Canis lupus familiaris: one gene and its partner. The protein of the gene in region 1 purifies or fractionates together with the protein of each later gene. This does not show direct contact. Links are inferred from orthologs where the notes say so. Each region holds a gene or a part of one and is shown on either strand. Other genes may lie near its edges.

Evidence for each region.
Region 2: the proteins of HSPD1 (region 1) and SIRT3 purify together in Homo sapiens (affinity purification with mass spectrometry; 3 studies listed by BioGRID and IntAct, counting the BioPlex papers as one, with this or other methods). This does not show direct contact. The link is inferred for Canis lupus familiaris from reciprocal best matches to the Homo sapiens genes HSPD1 and SIRT3.

Annotation. Positions count from the first base shown.
Region 1 is NC_049258.1:6,887,272-6,897,906, forward strand, and holds the end of HSPD1 (60 kDa heat shock protein, mitochondrial), read right to left. Parts: intron 9,670-10,635; coding exon 9,587-9,669; intron 9,057-9,586; coding exon 8,961-9,056; intron 8,310-8,960; coding exon 8,216-8,309; intron 7,949-8,215; coding exon 7,780-7,948; intron 5,347-7,779; coding exon 5,247-5,346; intron 4,691-5,246; coding exon 4,445-4,690; intron 4,044-4,444; coding exon 3,869-4,043; intron 3,448-3,868; coding exon 3,269-3,447; intron 3,186-3,268; coding exon 3,033-3,185; 3' UTR 2,559-3,032; downstream 1-2,558. UniProt on the Homo sapiens protein: Chaperonin implicated in mitochondrial protein import and macromolecular assembly. Together with Hsp10, facilitates the correct folding of imported proteins.
Region 2 is NC_049239.1:25,722,212-25,732,846, reverse strand, and holds part of SIRT3 (NAD-dependent protein deacetylase sirtuin-3, mitochondrial), read left to right. Parts: intron 1-141; coding exon 142-242; intron 243-2,659; exon of another isoform or gene 2,660-2,714; intron 2,715-2,799; exon of another isoform or gene 2,800-2,893; intron 2,894-3,846; exon of another isoform or gene 3,847-3,961; intron 3,962-6,211; coding exon 6,212-6,373; intron 6,374-7,023; coding exon of another isoform or gene 7,024-7,047; exon of another isoform or gene 7,048-9,361; intron 9,362-9,367; coding exon 9,368-9,577; intron 9,578-10,635.

The DNA of each region.
Region 1 (10,635 bases):
TTGTTGGCAACATCCAAAGCATCATAGTCAGGAGCCAGTCGAACATATGCTTTCTTCTCTCCATCAGGCCTGATCAAGGTGTTGACCTTGGCCACATCAATGTCATAGAGCTTCTTCACAGCCTGTTTGATCTGGTGCTTATTGGCCTTGACATCCACGATGAACGCAAGTGTGCTGTTGTCTTCTATTTTCTTCATGGCTGACTCAGTAGTTAAGGGGAACTTGATGATGGCAGAGTGATCAAGCTGGTTTCTCCTGGGGGCGCTCTTTCGAGGATATTTGGGCCGCCTTCCGAGACGCAGGGTCTTTGGTCGTCGGAATGTAGGTGACGTGCGGATCCTCTTTTTTTTTGTGACTGTGCACGCCTTTCAGCACCGCTTTCTTAGCTTTCAAAGCCTTTGCTTTGGCTTCAGCTTTGGGAGGGGCAGGGGCTTCCTTCTTCGCCTTCGGCGCCATCTTCGTGAAAGGCCTGTTCCACCTGTTAGATTTCAGTTCTATTTTCCAGGTCCTTTGTCATAGTTTTAGTTAATTTCCAATAATGTTTTCTAATTGTTCCTTTTTGTTAGCTTCCTTGGTTTATGGCAGCAGGATCTCATCTTTAAGATACTATGATTTAGGGATGCCTGGGTGGCTTAGTGGTTGAGTGTCTGCCTTTGGCCCAGGGCATGAGATCCCAGAGTCCTGGGATTGAGTCCCGCATCGGGCTCCCTGCAGGGAGCCTGCTTCTCCCTCTCCCTGTGTCCCTACCTTTCGCTCGGTGTCTCTCATGAATAAAATCTCTAAAAAAAGAAGTTTCTCCTAGATCCCTTTTGGTTTTGCTATTCTTCATGTTGAGGCTTGTTTAATGGTGGTTTGTCCATGAATATTTGAAAGCAAGGGACGAGTGTATTGGCTGCGGAATTTCACTGTACAGCGATCGGGGGAGCCACCCTTTTCATCGGAGGGACTCTCAGAATCAGAAGTCTTTGTTTTACTACATGATTCTCTCTAGTCCTAGAGAAATACGGGAGTAGAAATGCTGGCTAGCTACCGGCATTCTGGAAGGTAAGTGATGGATAGAAGATAGAGTTGGGTTCCTAATGTATGGACGTCTCTGGCTACCGCTTTCAAGGGGGTTTACGACTGCCTAGATCCTGGCTTAGGGGTTCATTCCAGCCTGGCTCTTCGGTCTAAGAACGTAAGCTCTTCATACCCAGCTCCCATCGGAGGTTTACCACCTAATAGCTCGGAGACTTTGTATAAGCTACTTAACCTTTCAGCCTATTTACTTCGTGTGGCATAGGTTTAGTAAGGAGTCCCTAATCCAAGGTTCCGGACTTAAACCAAGTATTTAGTTCAGTGTCTAGCACAGAACACTAATTTTTTCCTCTGCTCGTGTCTTTAGGCTGGCCGTGCTCTAATCTTTTAAAGTCCAGGTGTTTTTCATCTCTTACCTTTTCTTATAATCACTTAGCTTGGCCTTTAAGGTAATTAACTATATAAACCCTTTCTCTAACGTTTGATATTGCTTTGCCTTTTGCTACTTCTACAGGCAAAACTATATTCTAGGCATGTCTTGCTTACTTAAAATGCCTTTTATTTAGTCCCCTTTAATCTGTTGTCATTCTGTTTCTAACCTGGGCAAAGCACAGGTAGTTCTAGGTGCAAATTTCAAGTGACTGGCTTTTGATCTGTGATTATTTTTCCTTTTGTCTGAGCTTTGCATACCAAGGGCATTTGCCTTAAACCGTAGCTTATCCCAGTCTCTAAAACGGCAGCCCCAAGGCCAAACTGAGCAGCAGACTAGGTCCTTTGGCACAGGTGAAAGCAAGAATGTAGATGTTAAACATGATCTTGTGCTTTCAATTTATAATGTAGTAAATCTAGAAAACAAAGTTATGTTTTAAAACTCATTTTGCCCCAAACATGCATTCAGCCAGTTTTAAAAATAAGCCACACACACACAAAAATTTAAAAAAGCCACATTTCCATCGATCCGGGGTCTCCAGGATCAAGCGCTGGGCTGAAGGCGGCGCTAAACCGCTGAGCCACCCGGGCTGCCCCTGCCTTAAATTCTTAATAAAGGTAAAGATACTGGATCAGGCCAGGCCTATCAAGTAAGGATGCCCTTCCCCACTACTAATGATGCTTGAAAGGCACACCTCTCTCCTTTCCACTTAGTACACTCCTACTACAAACTCTTCCCTTCTCACCTAACAGGAACCCATTTTTTTTCTTATAATCTCTACATGCAGTGTGGGGTTCAAACTCACAAACCCAAGATCAAGTCCCATGCTCTTCCAACTGAGCCAGACAGGTGTTCCAGGAACCCATTTCTTATTATGTGGAGGCTTTGAAGCAGGAATTATAACCTCCATAAGAAGGGACAAAGACCTCAACACACAAAATACTGTCCCCACAGGAACTTCCCATTACCTATGTTGTAATATAATCGTCTTTAGCAAAGAGAAACAGGAGACTACTCCAGGTAGAATAATGTTTTACACACTTGTGCCAAACTCTACCCCTCCATCCACTGGCTTTCATTTATCTTCTAGATCATGGAAAGGCTAACACAATTAACTTTAAACAAATTTTTATTACACAAAGGTTGTCACATAATTGGATATTTTTCTACTTTGTACACAATTATTCTTACTCTCCACAGAAAGGCTGCTTAACTTTTCATCTGGTGATGGCAAACACTAAAATCCTGATTTTAACAGAATAGTAGTAAAAATGCCTCAGTGATTTAAGTTGAAAGCAGTACATTGGTACATGGCTCTTGCACTCAGTTATCAGGAATGTACAAATGTCTTTTTATTCAAAAATACAAAATAAATTATCTGTAGGCATGGACAATGACAGCAGTAAACCATTATATGTTGTCAACTGAAACCAGTAACTGATGGTTATAGCGATTTTCTTAAACATCAGCCAGCCTTTTCTTCAGTCATTTCCTTGAACTGACTTCTCTGAAGTTATGGTTGAGGAACACAGCCTTGAGCTTCCTCTCACAGTTCATTAAGAATGGTAAAGCACTATTCTAGGAATCAGAACATGCCGCCTCCCATACCACCTCCCATTCCACCCATTCCACCCATTCCTGGGTCCTTCTCTTCTTTAGGAATTTCGGTGACTACAACTTCTGCCGTGGTTAACAGAGAGGCCACTCCAGCAGCATCCAATAAAGCAGTTCTTACCACCTAAGAAAGAAGTTTGATAAATATATTACCTTTTTCCTTAGTGAAAAATGAACAAGACTTTTAGAAAATGATCAACTATTTACCTTAGTTGGATCAATGATTCCTTTTTCCACCATATTCACAAAATCTCCAAGCATAGCATCATAACCAACTTCTGAGGAACTCTGCATAATTTTCTCAACTATCAATGATCCTTCAACACCTGCATTCTTAGCAATGGTCATTGCAGGAATTTTGAGTGTTCTCTTAATAATTTCGATACCTAAAGATAAAGTTTAGCAAATTATAGTTTCTTTTTTTCTTTTTTTTAAGATTTTACTTATTCATGAGAGACAAAGGCAGAAACACAGGCAGAGGGAGATGCAGGCCTCCTGCAGGGAGTCCCATGCGCAACTGGATCCCCAGTCGACCTGGATCACACCCTGACCCAAAGGCAGATGCCCAACCGCTGAGCCTCCCCAGGCATCCCCAGTTTCATTCTTTTGTAAAAATTAAAATTCTATTTGTCCACAGGTCAAATCATTCCCCCTGGACATGACTGCATCTTTCATTTATTTTCTAATTATCAGTGCTCTTCTAATGTTATTCTGGAATCTTTGTGGTTTATTGTTCTATTTAATGGGCAACTGCATTCTGAAAGACTAAAATCAGGTTGCAAATCAACTCATGAAAGGCAATTTTACCAATTCTTTGATCTTCATTAGCTGGAGTTATTGAATCCAAGGCTGGAATGCACCGAAGCAGGGCACAACCTCCTCCCAGAACAATGCCTTCTTCAACAGCAGCTCTTGTGGCATTGAGGGCATCTGTAACTCGGTCTTTCTTTTCATTCACTTCAACATCACTTGTCCCACCAACCTAATGATTAAAAGAATTCCAGTTAGTATGGGTTTTGCCCATTCAAGATGCTGACTGGCAAGAGTCACTGAAAAGCACGGAGTTCACTTAAAAACATGTAAAAAAAAGGTCGCCTATTTGTTAAAAGTGACTGCATGATTAAAGAGCTAATAGGGTCAGTGCAGTGTCTCACATCAGTCCAACACACTATCATTAACAAAACACCTTTTTCCTTAGCAATACCAAGTTCACTTCTGGCTTTAAGGGGAGTATTCCAAAAAAATTTTATATAATATATATCTCCATGACAAAGTTATTTCCCAAAACCTTTTGGTTACACGGCACTATTGGAGAGTACCACAGAAACAAAATCATTCTTGGGTTCAGAACCCAAGAAACTCATTTACAACAATGAATCTTACCTTCAACACAGCTACTCCATCTGAGAGTTTTGCCAGACGCTCATTCAGCTTTTCCTTTTCGTATTCACTAGTTGTGATATCTAACTGCTCAATGATTTCTTGAATACGTTTTTCAATTTGAGCCTTGTCACCTTTTCCTTTTAAAAGCATGGCATCATCTTTGGTCACAATGACCTCTCCAACTTTTCCTAAGTCATGAGGCTGAACATCTTCGAGATTTAGAGTCAACCCTTCTTCCCCAAACACCTACAAAAATATTTAAAAATGAACCCGTTGCAGCTTGGTTTTTCATTATACCAAGTTTATCAGTAATACATCAGGTGGGTTTTTTGAGGAGATAAACATCTTAGAATACTGTATTTCTTTGAAATGTGAAATTTCAAGACAACGTCTAGTCCAGAGAAGACTTGATCAGGTTTTTCACTGCATTTCCCACTTCTCACTTAATCCTCAATCAGAATTAATTAGCTTTATTTCAGAAAAGTATAAACTCAATTCCCCTGAGGTCACACTTTTGGTGGAACCAGGACTAGACCTTAGACCTAAACAATTAAGTCCTATGTCTTTTCTATTGTATTGAACACAGATTAGTCAAATAATCCTATTCTTGGGCTAGACTCATAGCAAGTTAGAGAAGGGACCTGGGCACATTTAATCAAACCTTTACCTCGAAAACATCCAACAGAAACAAAAATGAATAGTTAATAATAAATGATTGTGAAAAACCTAAAATCTACCTATAAATTTTAGGCCTGGAAGTATATAACATTCAGTAAACCAACATCACATATATTTTACTTACTGCACCACCAGTAGCAATAGCCATATCTTTAAGCTGGTTCTTTCTATTGTCACCAAAACCTGGAGCTTTGACTGCCACAACCTGAAGACCGACTTTTAGCCTGTTAAGAACAATAAGAATGAGATTTAAAGTTAATTAAAGTTCTTAGTACTAAGATTACTTAGGAAACCACACTTTTTTTAAAAAAGGTTTTATTTATTTGAAAGAGTGATGGGACGCCTGGGTGGCTCGGTGGCTCATGGTGTGATCCCGGGGTCCTGGGATTGAGTCCCACATCAGGCTCCTTGCAAGGAGCCTGCTTCCCCTCTCTGCCTATGTCTCTGCCTCTCTCTCTCATGAATAAATAAATCAAATCTCTTTAAAAAAAGAAAGCGAGCACATGAATGGGGGTGGGGGGGTGAGGCACCCAACATGGGGCTCAATCCCAGGACCCCCGAGGACCATGATCTGAGCTGAAAGCAGACATATAACTGACTAAGCCACCCAGGCACCCCTGGAAACCACACTTTACAATTTTTTGCTTCCTACCAACTTTTAGTCAAATTAAGACATGAAAGAGCAACTTTCCATTCATCCATATTTGCCATTACCTTTGTCAAAAATTGTTGACCTTACGGTTAAACTGAACCCAGGAAATAAATGCTAACATAAACAAAAAACTTTTAAGTTAACTACAGTGATAACTATACCCTATTTGTTCTATTTAGTAATGGATCAAGTTACTACTGAAGTTTGAGCAGTGTTCTTAATTCAGTTCCTTTACATATATAAGTGTTGCTGATAAATAGCATTAAGTTCACCTGCGATTTTATCATGTAATGAATATCTGGAATATATAATCAAAGGAATGTCCACTTGAGACCACACTGTGTGAAAAAGGAGTATTTAAACTGTTAAAGACAGAGTTGGTCTATTTTATTAAAGGGCCAAATAAAAATCAGAGGGACAGATAAACATAGTATGCCAAATCAATCAGCCATCCAAAGCTACAGACACCAGTAGATGGCTCAATGAAACTCTGGAGGTCTATTTTTTTTTTAATTTATTTTGACTTAAAATCCCACAATCTCATAAAGCTTTTCATAACCCAAAAAGCAAATCCAAGCTAACAAACATTCAAGGATAAGTCAACTCATTCGGAGCTTTTGTGTCAAGGTATGCACTCTCCCATATAACTATTTCATTTGTCCATTTCCATTACAATTGGAAAATTATTACTTCTAGAGCAGCCCAGGGGGCTCAGCGGTTTAGTGCTGCCTTCAGCCCAGGGCGTGATCCTGGAGTCCCGAGATCAAGTCCCACATCGGGCTCCCTGCATGGAGCCTGCTTCTCCCTCTGCCTGTGTCTCTCCTGAATAAATATAATCTTCAAAAAAAATTATTACTTCTAATATACCTCAATTCTAGGAATAGGAAGAATATGTATTTTAAAAACGTTCTAATATTCTTTCTTAAAATTTAATCTCCACACCCATGTGGGACTCGAACTCACAATCAAATCAAGATCAAGAGTCACATGCTCTTCTGACGGAGACAGCCATGCACCACAGTAAGGCCCTAACACTTTTATAGCAGGAGCTACTAGTCGTAAAGTAAAAAATCATATATTATAGTTTAAAAAATTAAGCGAAGAGACTTTATCTTAGATTGAATGTCAAATTCTCTATTTCAGACCATTAATTAAAATGTCCTTTGATGGGATGTCTGGGTGGCTCAGCAGCTGAGCGCCTACCTTCAGCCCAGGGCTGATCCTGTGGTCCCAGGATCGAGTCCCACATCGGGCTCCCTGCATGGAGCCTACTTCTCCCTCTCTCTGTGCCTCATGAATAAATAAATAAACTCTTAAAAAAAAAAAAAAAAGTTTTGGGATCCCTGGGTGGCGCAGCGGTTCAGCGCCTGCCTTTGGCTCAGGGCACAATCCTGGAGACCCGGGATCGAATCCCATGTCGAGCTCCCAGTGCACAGAGCCTGCTTCTCCCTCTGCCTATGTCTCTGCCTCTCTCTCTCTCTCTCTCTCTGACTATCGTAAATTAAAAAAAAAAAAAAAACTTAAAAAAAAAGTTTTGAGATTTGCTTTATTCATGAGACACACAGAGGCAGAGACCCTCTCCCTCTCAGCAGAGGGAGAAGCAGGCTCCCTGTGGGGAGCCTGATGCAGGATTTGATCTCAGGACCTCGGGATCACAGTCTGAGCCAAAGACAGTCAACCATTGAGCCACCCTTAAAATTTTAACAGATTATGTAACTAAATACGTTTTGACCTAAAATTGAAAAAAACCAATAGTTATAATTAAAAAATAGGTATCACATTCAAAATTAGGCTGTCTTATGAAAAACTTGCACAAAATATTAAGGACTTTCAAACAGAACTCATTCAAAAAGAACAAACCATTTTAACAGAGCTCACAAAGCATACCTGTATATATGCTAACACAAGTGGTGCAATGTGGGGGTACAAAAAGAGGATTTCAAACACCAATATAAAAAAACTTCCTTTCATCTGGAAATGTAAACCAAATACGAAAGCCTATTACCTATTTAAAACAAGTGTACTCAGAGCTTCTCCATCAACATCTTCAGCAATTATGACCAAGGGCTTACGGTGAGCATTGGCAATTTCAAGAGCAGGTACAATGGACTGGACACTAGAAATCTTCTTTTCACTCAATAGAACATAGGCATCTTGGAATTCACATTTCTGACCTGCAAAAATAAACATTTCAAACCAATTTAAGACATTATAACAATATCCTGAAAATAACTGCAATTTAGTTAAGTGAAAAAACTAGAAACCAAAGTTTTAGTACATCTCAAGTGACTGAGTTCATGTTTTCCCCTTCATTTCTCATTTACAATAACTTTTGGGATACCTAAGTTTATCTTTTAGAAGTATGACCTGATTAATGCTTACAGTGTGACCCATGGCAACCTGTATATTTTTTTAAATTTCATTTACTGACTTGTTCTTACCTTTCGACGTATTAATAAAGTATGGAGAAATATAGCCTCGATCAAACTTCATGCCTTCAATAATTTCCAATTCATCATTCAGTGTTTTTCCATCCTATAAAAATCAATTAGCTGTATGAATTTCATTACAGAAACACAAAAAGTTGTAATTATAGACCAGATTAGGAGACCGCACTGATCACAAGGGATCCAGGCGTGTAAGTATGCAAATACCCTAGGGGATCAAACTGCAATTTTGCAAAAATTTCAAAAATGCATTTTTAAATTTTTACATCTAGAAGAATAGTATTACTTAAGTTACAACGGATTCCTCCCTCACAGGGAAGGTTAAAAAATTCACACAGGGATCCCTGGGTGGCGCAGCGGTTTAGCGCCTGCCTTTGGCCCAGGGCACTATTCTGGAGACCCGGGATCGAATCCCACATCGGGCTCCCGGTGCATGGAGCCTGCTTCTCCCTCTGCCTGTGCCTCTGCCTCTCTCTCTCTCTGTGTGACTATCATAAATAAATAAAAATTTAAAAAAAATAAAATAAAGTGATAAAGTTTATAAAAAATAAAATAAAATAAAATAAAATAAAATAAAATAAAATAAAATAAAAAATTCACACACAATTCAGGAAATACTCTAGTCTATGTGAATGCTAAAACATGCATAAAGGAATCAAGCATGAAACACATCAATTTTTCTATTTGAAAACTGTTTTGATCAGACAACTCATCTCAAGCTATCATTAAAAACACTTACCTTTACTGTGATGACACCCTTTCTTCCAACCTTTTTCATTGCATCAGAAATGATGTTGCCAATTTCTTTGTCTCCATTCGCAGAAATCGTAGCAACCTAAAACAATCAAGTTACTCTTCCAAGTTACAAAGATAAGGCCAGCATCCTCAGTCAGCTCCCCTCCCTTTTCCTAGTAACTTCAAAACTGATATATTGGGGCAGGGGGAACCTATGGACAAGCAGATGTGTTCTAAGAGATCTAACAATTATTTTTAAACTTACCATTTGGCTACATTATTTTTAAAAGAAATAAAATAAACATATCATTCTTTTTTTTTAAAAAAAGGGAGAATATCCCCCCTTCTTGGAAAAAGTGGCAATATTCTAACATGACAAAAATTATGCACCTTTTGACAAATGGCTGAAGAACATCTTCCATACAAACAAATGAGTTTTACTCACAGCCATGTAAAATTAAAGTGACCACTAAGACTCTAGTTATGGTCACTGCATTATTTTCAGATGTTTTTTAAGCAGGAAGAAGAAATGCTTTCCATGTCAAGTGACTGGGTGATATCATTATTCTGACACTGGTATAGGATTATGGAATAAAATCACATTTATCATAAAATATGAAAAATCCTTACCTGTGCAATTTCTTCAGGGGTTGTCACGGGTTTAGACTGCTTCTTAAGTTCAGCAATTACAGCATCAACAGCTAACATCACACCTTATTCAAGAATAAATGCCATTACAAAGCTTATTCTCTCAGGGCTCCACACCAAGTAAAAATTTCAATCCAGGGATCCCTGGGTGGCGCAGCGGTTTGGCGCCTGCCTTTGGTCCAGGGCGCGATCCTGGAGACCCGGGATCGAATCCCATGTCGGGCTCTCGGTGCATGGAGCCTGCTTCTCCCTCTGCCTATGTCCCTGCCTCTCTCTCTCTCTCTGTGACTGTCATAAATAAATAAAAATGTTTAAAAAAAAAAAATTTTTTTTAAATTTCAATCCGTGTTAAATGTTTTAATGTTAATGGCCTATATAATGCATCTATGCCAGCACTTTTCCTAATTGCATGGAGTTGAATGGCACGCACCAAAACAGGAACGTTAGTAAGTGAAGACTCACAAGCCAAAATTATTTTGAAAACTGGACTAAAGGAAAAATACCAAGAGCATAATTTCAAGAATTTCACCATTCAACTCATTCTATGTAAGCTATTGACAATCCATCATGTTGCAGGTTTCCAACAGGGTCACCTAACACTTCCCTCAACTCTATGACAGGGTTATGCCCCTACAGCTTTTAATTATCCAAAATTTTCTCATTTAATATATAATCAAAAAATTTGCTTTAACAGTCAATAGGATCACAACATGGATTTATGAGAACCCAATTTTGTTCAACGAGTAGGATTAGTTCTGGCTCTTCCCTTTATTTTGAGAAATATAACTTAAAGAAAAAATCCAGGGACGCCTGGGTGGCTCAATGGTTGAGCATCTGCCTTCAGCCCAGGGTGTGATCCTGGAGTCCCAGGATCGAGTCCCACATCAGGCTCCCTTGCAGGGAGACTGCTTCTCCCTCCGCCTATGTCTCTGTCCCTCATGAATAAATAAATCTTAAAAAAAAAAACCAAAAAACTAGCATAGTACCCATCGCATAAGGCAGGCATCTAATTGCTATTTGCCAAAGGAAAA
Region 2 (10,635 bases), on another chromosome or scaffold:
GTAGGTGGGGGAGGCACGGACAGCCAGGCTTGCACTGAAGGCTGTGACTCCCTCTGGGGTCTGCCAAGTTCAGAGTTTACGCGCTGGGGCTTGTGCGCCCACCCTGGGGCCAGCAGCACTTAGCTTTGGTTTGAATTTCAGTAGCTGGGATCCCTGCCTCAAAGCTGGTTGAAGCTCATGGATCCTTCGCCTCCGCCACATGCACTGTCTGCCGAAGACCCTCCTCAGGGAAGGACATTTGGGTGAGTTGTCACGCTGATGGTTCTCTCCCTTCTGCACTTTGCAGTGGGAGTGATCTGGAATAGTGACATTTTATGAGCATTGTATTGGAAGACACCAGAACTGTAAAGCTGTGGAGTGCTTTTCTTTATTTTCAAATTGGAAAAGTAATACACACTTGTAAAAAATTAAGAAATATGTAGGGAAAAACATATCTCCCTTCAACCTATAGGGAGTTTCTATAGCCCACTCTTAACAGTTTAGTGTATAATGTTCTAAACCTTAAAAAAAAAAAAAGGCATACCTAAACGTACATGGCTGTGTCTGTATCCTTACACTACACAGTGACAATTTTTTTAATTAATAGGATTATTGAAATTTTTAAAAATTTATTTGTGAGAACATGAGCAAGAGGGGCAGAGGGAGAGGGAGAGAGAATCTCAAGCCAACTTCCCACTGAACACAGAATCCGATGTGGGGCCTGATCTCACGACCCTGAGATCATGACCTGAGCTGAAACCAAGAGTTGGCGGCACTTAAGCAACTGAGCCACCCAGGCTCCCCAGTAATAGGATTATTAGGGTTAATGTTCTACAACCTGCTTTGTTATAGAACAAAACTTCATGGATGTCTGTGTCAATAACTACAGCTTTGCTTACTATTTTTAGTAACCGGAGTGTTAACATGTAGGCATTCACCTACTGTGGGGTATTTTTTGATGTTTGTTATTTTTACTATTAGGTTTAATGCATCAATTATACCTGTGCTCATACCCTTGTGTACTTCTGGGGATGTTTCTGTAGGATGGGTTTCTACAATCAGAATAGGATAGACTGGAAAATCTTAAATAAAGATGAAACTCTGAAATATTGATGAGGCATATGTTTTATTTTATTTTATTTTTTTTGTTTTTTTTTTTTGTTTTATTTTTTAATGAGTTGAAAATCACATAACCATAAAATTAAACATTTTGAAGTGTACAATTCATTAGCATTTAATATATTTCCCAGTGTTGTGCAACTACTACCTCAGTCTGATTCCAGAACATTTTCATCACCCCAAAGGAAAACTGTACCCACTAATCAGTTAACCCCTGGTACACAACCCTGGGGAACCACTGATCCTTTTACTGTCTCCATGGTTTTGTCTTTTCCAGAATTTCAGAGTTGGACTCATACATATGCAGCCTTTTCAGACTGACTTCCATCAGTTAGATGCCTTTAAGTTTCTTCCACGTCTTTTTATGCCTTCATAGCTCACATCTTTTTAGTGTTGAATAATATTCCCTTGTGTGGCTGGGCCTTAGTTATCCATTCATCTACTAAAGGACATCTTGGCCGCTTCTGTGTTTTGGCAATTATGAACAAAGCTGCTATAAACATCCACATGCGATATTTTTGCATGGACATGACTTTTCAGCATCTTTGGTAAATACCAAGGAACATGAGTGCTGGATTGTATGGTCGGTGCATGTTTAGTGCCTTTCAATGTGGCTGTACCACTTTCTATTTCCACCAGCAGTGAGTAAGAGCACGCAGCATTTGGTTTTGTCCATGTTCTAGAATTTGGCTGTTCTGATAGGTGTGTAATGGTATTGTGTTGTTTTAATGTGCAATTCCATGGTGACATATGATGTGGAGTATCTTTTCAAATGCTCATTTGCTACCTATGCATCTTCTTTGGTGAGCTGTCTACTCAGGTCTTTGGCCCATTTTTATTTTTTATTTTTTATTTATTTATTTATTTTTTCCATTTTTAAATTAGGTTGCTCATTTTCTTATTATTGAGTTTTAAGAATTTTTTGTATATTATGGATAACAATCCTTTATCAGATGTCTTTTGTAAATATTTTCTTCTTCTTTGAAAATATTGTCTTCTCATTTTCTTGACAGTGTCTTTCACAGAGCAGGGTTTTTCACTTTAATGAGGTCTAATATATTTTTCTTCCATGAATTGTGCCTTTGGTGTTATCTCTGAAAAGTCATTTGCTGCAACTCTTGCTCTGTGTAATAGCAGCAGAGGGGATCCCTGGGTGGCTCAGCGGTTTAGCGCCTGCCTTCGGCCCAGGGCCTGATCCTGGAGACTGGGGATCGAGTCCCACATTGGGCTCCCTGCATGGAGCCTGCTTCTCCTTCTGCCTGTGTCTCTGCCTCTCTCTCTCTCTCTCTCCCTCTGTCTCTCATGAATAAATAAATTAAATCTTTTTTAAAAAGCAGCAGAAACAAGTGGGGTGGGGGGGAGCTGTGGGGAAGCTGGGGTGGGGGAGCTGGTTGTTTAGAGGCCTCCATTTACTGGAGTGAAAATTGAGAATGATAGTGGTCTTTCTTTTAGGTGACTCATCTAGGATGCCAGAGAGGTGGTTTGCCAAATTAAATAAACCTGGAGTGTACAGTTTCTTTGAAGACAGTGTGGTGTCAGTTGTATAGTCATGAACATTTTCATCAGGCTTTTCTGTGCAAGCTTGAATCCTGTCCAGTCAGCAGGCTTAGGAAGAGGTACTGTAATCCTTTGGTGGAGATTTCTAGCGAGTTCTAGCACTTTGCCAAAACTTAGGCATCTGTTTCTCTCAATCCCTTTCAGGGTGCTCCCATTGAGCTGGTTTCATCCAGCGTTTGGTCTGACCCTCAGCAGCAAGCATGTGGACCAATTGATACAAATCTGAGAAATCAGATCAGTAAGTTTGAATAACTGTGTTAAATCTTCAGCAAACGTATAGGGTCCTCAGTCACTTTGGGAAATTGTTTCAGTACAGCTCCAAATTCAGCCTTAGTCCGGGCAGCATAAGCCATTTGGCATTCATTTGGACCTCCAGCAGAGTTTACTTTAGAGGGGTAGGTGTTAATAGGGTCAGGAGAGGAGGGGTGGGGAGAGGTTTGGAGATAAAGGGAAGCTCAGTGAAAGGATTAGAAGGAGGAATGGGTATAGGGGAGGGGAGGGCCAGTGCCAAAGGAAGAGGGAAAAGGCTCCAGAGGCAGGGCCCGAGTATAAGGTGGCCCCACCTGTCTGGAGACAAAGAGGATGGGAAGGGGAAGAGGCCTCAGAAGCCCCGTTGACTTCTTACAGTTGTTTGCCTCTTTGCAAAATACTATTTCTAAATTAACTGAGGCAAAACAAACTTTGAATCCTAAAAATGTTTGGAAGCCTTGAGGTACCAATTAAAATAAGCATCCAATTCAGTGTTGACAAGTTTCCAGCCATGGCTGTCCAATTCCATTGTGAGAAAAGTCAATTTGGGGAGATGGGAGGTTCCCCACGATGGCTGTTGAGGTTGTGAATGCCTTTTGGTTGAGTCAGTCCATTTAGTTAAGAATGCACACGAGGAGGGGCCACCATTCTGAAACCTAGAACTGGCTGAGGTCCCAGAAGTGTGGGGGCAAGGCCGTCCTCACAGCATTTTGATCGCTGGCATCCCACTTCCCAGAGGCTTTTCTCTAGAGGGAAGAGAACAATATCTAAACGGCACAGTTCCAGTAGGAACAGCCTAGCTTTAGAAAGGAGTCAGACCAAAGGCCAAACAAGTACTCTCAGGAAGGACAAAGCCTTAAAACAGGTCCTGAATAAAGGCTGGAGAGCTCAGAACAGAGAGTGAAGCTCATGTCCAGGAGACGACTTATTCTCAAACCCCAGGGCCGGCAAGAGAGCAGCAAGCCTGACCAGGTCTGTGGGGACCGGCACCTGTGTGTGTGCTCACCAGCCTCAGAGCCGCTGGAGGTAGCTGCCTGCGTCCCACTTCTGACACCAGGTAAAGTTTTCCTTAAAAATAACACTGCCTACTATTTTACCAACAAAATGGGTTTATTCAGGAGAGTGGAAAATTGTAATTTGGGACAAGCAAGCTATGACAAAACCGTAGGCACGTCCAAACAACAAAGGAGAGGGACATTTGATGGAGAGGAAGGAGTAGGGAGGGGCTTGAGAGACAGGTCTGGGGAATGATGGTGTCTCACCAGCTGATCGCTGGGGTAGCCAATTTGTTGTAGAGGGGGGGTGCACATCTTCCCCTGTTGGGACCTGCCGTTGATGGTTCTTCCTGTTGAGGGTTCTTCTGTTGGGTCTGTAGTTCACACTTCTTCGTGTGATTGATGTTTGAGCAGTAGGGCTCCTTCCGACCTCCTGAATCCACATTAGCAGGGTTTCCCTTTATTAATTTTCATAATGTCCAGCACCATTTGTTGAAGAGATGAGATTTGGTCCTTTGTCAAAGAAGAGTTGACTGTGTTTGTGTGAGGGTACTTCCAGCCTCTCTGTTCTGTTCCCCTGATCTATTCTTCTGCTCCCTACAATAGAGCCACAGTCCTGATTCCTGTGGCTTTTTATAATAAGTCTTGAAGTCAGATAGTGTCAGTCTTGTTCTTTGCCTCAATATTGTGTTGGCTATTCTGGTCTTTTGCTTTCCATATAAACTTTAGAATCAGTTTGTATCTGTTCTCTGCTTATTTTTAAATCTTTTCTCTTTGTCTTTGGAGTTTTAGAGTTTTACACTGTTACTGGGGTAACTCTCCATATGGATTTCCTTTTGTTTACTTATTCTGCTTAAAATTTATAGGGCTTTCTGAATCTGTGGTTTTCATCATTAGTGGAAAAATCCCTGGCTGTTGCCTCTCAGATGTCGATTGCATCTCCCACTCCCTCACCTCCCTTGTGGAGCTCTACTTAAACTCCCATGAGACCTCACGCTCCCACCCATGGCTCTTCTGTGTGTTCCATCTTGCTTCTCTGTGCTGTGTTCTGAATAATGTCTTTTGATCTATTTTCCAGTTTACCAACCTTCTATTCTGTTGTATAAAATAAGGTTCTTCCACTAAGTGCTAATTTTTGTTACTGTTTTTTGTTTGGAAAAGGTTTAATGAGATGTGAAACCTCAACCAGCTGTGGGCTCATTTCCAGATCTGAATTACTTGCCCCATTTTTTTCTTCCTAATTTTTATTTAAATTTAGTTAGTTAACATATATCACAGTATCAGTTTCAGGAGTACAACTTTGTGATTTATCACCTATATACAACACCCAGTGCTCATCACAATAATGCCTTCCTAATTTTTGTTACTTTTATTTCTAGAAGTTCTCTTTGGTTCTTTTTCAAATCCACTACATTATTTTTTATAGTTTTCTATCCCCAACAGATACTTCAAACCCTTTTTTTAAAAAAAAAGTTAAACACAAAATGGCCTTAATGTGTCTCTAATAGTATCTGAAGTCTCTGAGTAGTGTCTCCTTGGTCTGTTGTGTCTGCTGGTTCTGGCTGGGCTCAGCTTGCTAAGACAGGGCCAGGAAGGTTTGTCTTAGGAAGCTGTTGTCCTCGTTCTTAGGCTCCTTCCTTTGACACCCAGCCCAGCACATGAACACAGGCATCTTAGGGCAGAGCAGTGATTTGCGTCTACCTCACCTTGGCCTGCAAGCTAGTGGTCTGTGGCAACACTGCTTACAGCTCCTGCTTGAATGCCTTCCAGGTCTAGGGTGATGTCATGATCACTTCAATCAGGTACAAACTTTATACCAGCTTTCTCATTGAATCATGTTTAGTGTAGGCCAAATGCCTGCAGAGTACCTCCTGAGGACTGTGTCACATACTATTTCCTTAGCATCTGAATGTCTCTGATAAGCCCCTGAAGGGCACAGCCTGGCGTTACATGTGCTAGATATCATGGGCTCTTCAGGATGCACCTTCAAATACTCCAGTGTGTCCCCAGTTTCAGGGAGCCATTGAAACAAAATTGGCAAAATGTCAATAAATGCCAAATCTGGGTTCATTATTCAGCTGTTATGAATGTTTGAAAATTTCTTAGTAAAAGCAGTCTTTTTAAAAAGTTTTATTTAAATTAGGTAACGTACAGTGTTACATTAGTTTCAGGTGTACGATCTAGTGACTCACCTCCATACGTCGCCTGGTGCTCCTCACAGCAAGTGCACTCCCCACCCCGCCCCCTCCCGTCTGGCAGCCTGAGTATGTCGTGACATTGTCCTTGGCCTGTTGTCTATGTGTGTTGCACAGGCCGACGTGAGCATGGACAAGATCCCCCGCTGCCCAGTGTGCACTGGCGTTTTGAAGCCTGACATCGTGTTCTTTGGGGAGACACTGCCTCAGAGGTTCCTGCTGCATGTACTTGATTTCCCAATGGCAGATATGCTGCTCATCCTCGGGACCTCCCTGGAGGTTTGTCAGCAGGTCCAGTGGTGGACTGAGTGTGCAGGGGCAGGGGAGGCTATAAGGACAGGGCCGAGGAGGTGAGGCTGCTGGGGGTGGCACCAGCTGCTCTTGGAGCCTTCACATCTGGCGTCCTAGCTTCGGAAGATGAGTAGGTTCAACTGGTCGGGAAGCAGAGGTATTCCTGGCCAAGGGATTGGCAGTCTGGGCAGAATGGGGAAGAGGGAGGGTGCTCAGCTTTGGAGGCACCATCAGCATGGGTGGGGCACGGTGTGTAAGGGAAGGGAGGAAGGAGGGACCTGGAGAGTAGGGCAGGACAGACTTACCAGGCCACATCACAGAGGCTGGTTTTGTGCTAGAAGCGGTAGACTTGAAGTGGTTGAGCCAGGGGCTTAGCCAGTGCTCAAGGTCCCAGAACCTGCTGGGGAGTGGGGATTGAAGGAGATGCCTGGGAGGTGGGTTCTCATGAAGGTGAGGCTGTGGGCCCGGTCAGATCATCTGACCATGAGAGAGGGCAAAGAGAAGAACGGCTGGACTTGGGGACAGGAGATGGAGTGGTCTGGTTGTGTCTGTGGGCACTCAGGCCTTTTTTTGGTAACAAGGTATTTGGAGGGAGGGTTCCGAGCTCAGTTCTGTACAATTGTGTTTGAGGTACCTAGGACACACCTGTGGACACATTCTAGAAGCTGGTCTACCTCTAGATCTGAAGCTCAGGATGTGACAAGAGCAACAAACACGACCCTGTGATGAGCTCTGCCTGGTTGGGTGCTGGTGCCGAGGAGCAGAAGCGCCAGAAAGGCCTGTACTCTGTGGCCTGTGTGGTTGGCCACAGAGGCCTAGAGTTAGGTGCATTCATCCAGCAAATGCGCCCGCTGTGTGCCGGGCCCTGTTGTAGGGCCTTGGACAGACAATACGATGTTGCAAGCAAGTGACACAGTGTTAGGTGCTGACACATGGACAGGAAGGCTGGGAAGGGTTAGGAACTGATTGGGACATCAGCTTGGTTTCCATGACTGTCGGAAGGGGACCCCGGAGCTGAGGGCAGAAGGGGATGCACGTGTCAGCTGAGGGTGTCTGGCAGCAGGCACTGCGCAGTGGCCACAGCCACATGGAGTGAGCGAACAGAGGGCAACAGTGACAGGGTCTGACCTCCTGACCCCGCAGGTGTTGTGGCGGGGAGAGCTGCTGGAGACCCTGCAGGTGGTGGTCCGGGTGGCGATGGCGGGTGGCCAGGTAACGCCGCAGAGGGCAGTGTTCATACATCACATAGATCGAGGGCAAAGGAAGGAATCCCTCCACCCCCTCCAGCACTACGAGTGTTATGCGGTGTCCTCACAGCTTCTCTGCTGCACCTTGTGGTGACCTTTAACCAGAGGTGGGGCAGCACCATGCATAGAGACCAACTACCTTGTTAGCGCCCAGTGTCCCTGCTGGGACCCCCCAATCAGAGTGCTTGTCTCTAGCACCGAGTAATCTGCAGTATTGCTCCAACTTCATCTCATATGCTGTGTGGAAGAAATACTCAGCAATAAACTTGATTATTAATTGCCCCTCCAGATCCCACTGAGTTGTGACATAATAATTGTATATAAACCAAATGATGTTTTCTAAAATCTGAAATATTCTGAATTCTGGAACACACCTAGCCCCCAGAGTTTTAAGATAAGGGATGATGGATGAATAAGCAAATTTCTATTGATGGGCAACAAAAATAAAGTATATAGATTTTATATTAAAAATAATGATGTAGTGAATAACCAAGTGTACACATGTTCACACATTCATGTGAGTACCTCAGTAAATACTGAGAAGTTGCCTTCCAGAAAAATACACTACGTAAACTGTCACCAGTTGTATATGAGTGGCCATTTTCCTCATCCTCCCCAACAGCAAACATTACCTGTGTTTAAGTTTATCCATCTGATTTGGCTAGAAATTGTGTGTGTGTGTGAGAGAGAGAGAGGAAGAGAGGGAGATCTCACATTTCTGTAATATTGAAGTTCATCTTTTCATGTTTTATTAACCACTGTATTCTCTTTGGATTGAATATTTGTATCTCTTGCTCATTTTCATTCTTTTTTTTCTTAGTCATTAAATTAGCAATATAAATCCATAAATGATATAAAATGTTTAAAATTAGTTTAGCAATTAGCAATATTTGTCACATGTTGTAAAATGCTTGCAGTTTATGGTGATGAGGTTTAAAAATTATTTTCTACGTCGTATTTTTATGTAGATAATAATGTGATAGTATTATGTAGTCAGACCTATCATGACTTTCCTTTGTCTCATCTGACTTGACTTATCAGGCCTTAAGAGTCCTTTCCTACCTTTACTTATAAAACCTAAGTTTTCTTTAAGAATTGTTTTGTTTACATGTAAATCACGTAACATTTCTTTCACTCACCCGAAATTTTTTCAGCGAAGGCAGGAATTGAGCATTTTCCTCCCAGATAATAAGCCAGTCTCAATTATCTCTTTCTTATATTATTGCTTCTGAATGGAAATTTCACGTGGGAGCTGGATGAAGCAGCCCAAAGGCACCGAGTTGGGACTCCCTAGAAGTCTGAATAGTGGAGAGTGTGCAGAGGTGGGGCATCCACCCCTGTGGGTGCCCCAGGAGCCCCCTGTGAGCCCAGGTCCTTGCTCCCAAGGAGTGAGGGCAGACAGACGAGATGCTGCTGGGAGGAGACGTGTGTGGTGGGACAGGACAGATAAAAGAGGGCGCAGTTGCTGGACCCCAGATGCGCCTGGGCAGGGAGACCCGCAGAGGCCAGGAGTGTGGGAAGCAGAAGGACATGGACAGAGACATAGAGGGACCCAGGCCTAGAGCCCGGGCAGGCTGCGTGACTAGAAGGAAATGGTGGTGTATGTGCCCTGTATCCAAGGCCTTACCATCGGTCTGAGCTGCTCTTTCAAAGCCTCAGGCTGTGCATAACGTGTCCTGCGGGGCTTGGAGGACAGGGTGGGTGCTGGCCTCCTCACGTGTGGGCAATTTTTCAGGTAGAACCTTTCGCCAGCTTGTCTGAGGCTGTGCGGAGCTCAGTGCCCCGACTGCTCATCAACCGGGACGTGGTGGGGCCCTTTGCCTGGTGTCCTCGCAGCAGGGATGTGGTCCAGCTGGGGGATGTGGTTCACAGCGTGGAAAGGCTGGTGGAGCTTCTGGGCTGGAGAGAAGAGCTGCAGGACCTCATCCAGCAGGAAACCGAAAAGGTACAGACTGCAAGCAGGGTCCTCGCTGCTCTGGGGTCCAGGTGCCCCTGATGTGGAGCCCTAGCTGGCTAAGACAGTGACAGGAATAGCGCACATCGGTGTTAACCCAGTCCCGGCCACTGTCCGAGGCTGTCCGTGTGCTTATGAGAGCGACGCTGGCTGCCTGTTCCCCAGCGACGGAGCTGCGGTTGGGTGCGGGCAGACCGGCTGGGTCCTCTAAGTAAAGCACCGCCAGCAGCTAGCTCCAGGCTGAGTGTGGCTCGGAGATGAGCTTTGAGGAGCTGAACTTGTGTGTGCTGGTGTGGGGTGAAGCCCACCCTGGGAATGCACTCCTGTGATGATCACGAGAGCTGCTGGCCCGTATCGATCCGCTGTGGGTGCAAAGCCAAAGACGCTCGGTGCTCCTGAGGTTCCAAACCTGTTCCAAGTGAAGTTTCCCAGGAGAATCGGTTAGCATGCGTGGCCCTGGCGTGAGTGCTGATTTTCTAAAGGAGGCAGCATTAAGCTTTCGAAGTCCAGTCATCACTGAGGATCCTCATGTGACACCGCCCAGGGGGGCAGGGGTCTCGGGTCCGGGGTCAGGCCTTCCCCTCACCCTTCCGGGCAGAAGCCCCCAGCCTCTGGCTGCAGTCTGCTTTCTTACCAAGTTGAACCAAAGAAAGAATATAAGGCTTATTAAGGCCAGGAGACTTCCACACATTTTAGACATTGTGGCTGCTATTTTTTCTATCTCTCCATTCCAGAGTTTGGCTCTAATGGCTAAGATGTAGGCTGGTATCACCCCTTATCTTATTATAAATGTCAAAGTCATATTGCTGGATCATTTTAGGGAAGTAGAGAATGCAGGTAGCTCCGGAGCCTATACTTTGCACATCAGGAAGACAGGCAGCGGGTGCTTTGGTCAGATCCACCTAGCAGCTTCCTGGCTCTGACGTCCTATTTCCGTACAAGACTAAGCCAAGTGGCCCCCAAGGACTTTTGGAAGAAGTCCTACAGACTTTGGTCTGTGCGATTTTATAATCTTATGTGAAGATGTAATTAAAATCTTTATAATTTTA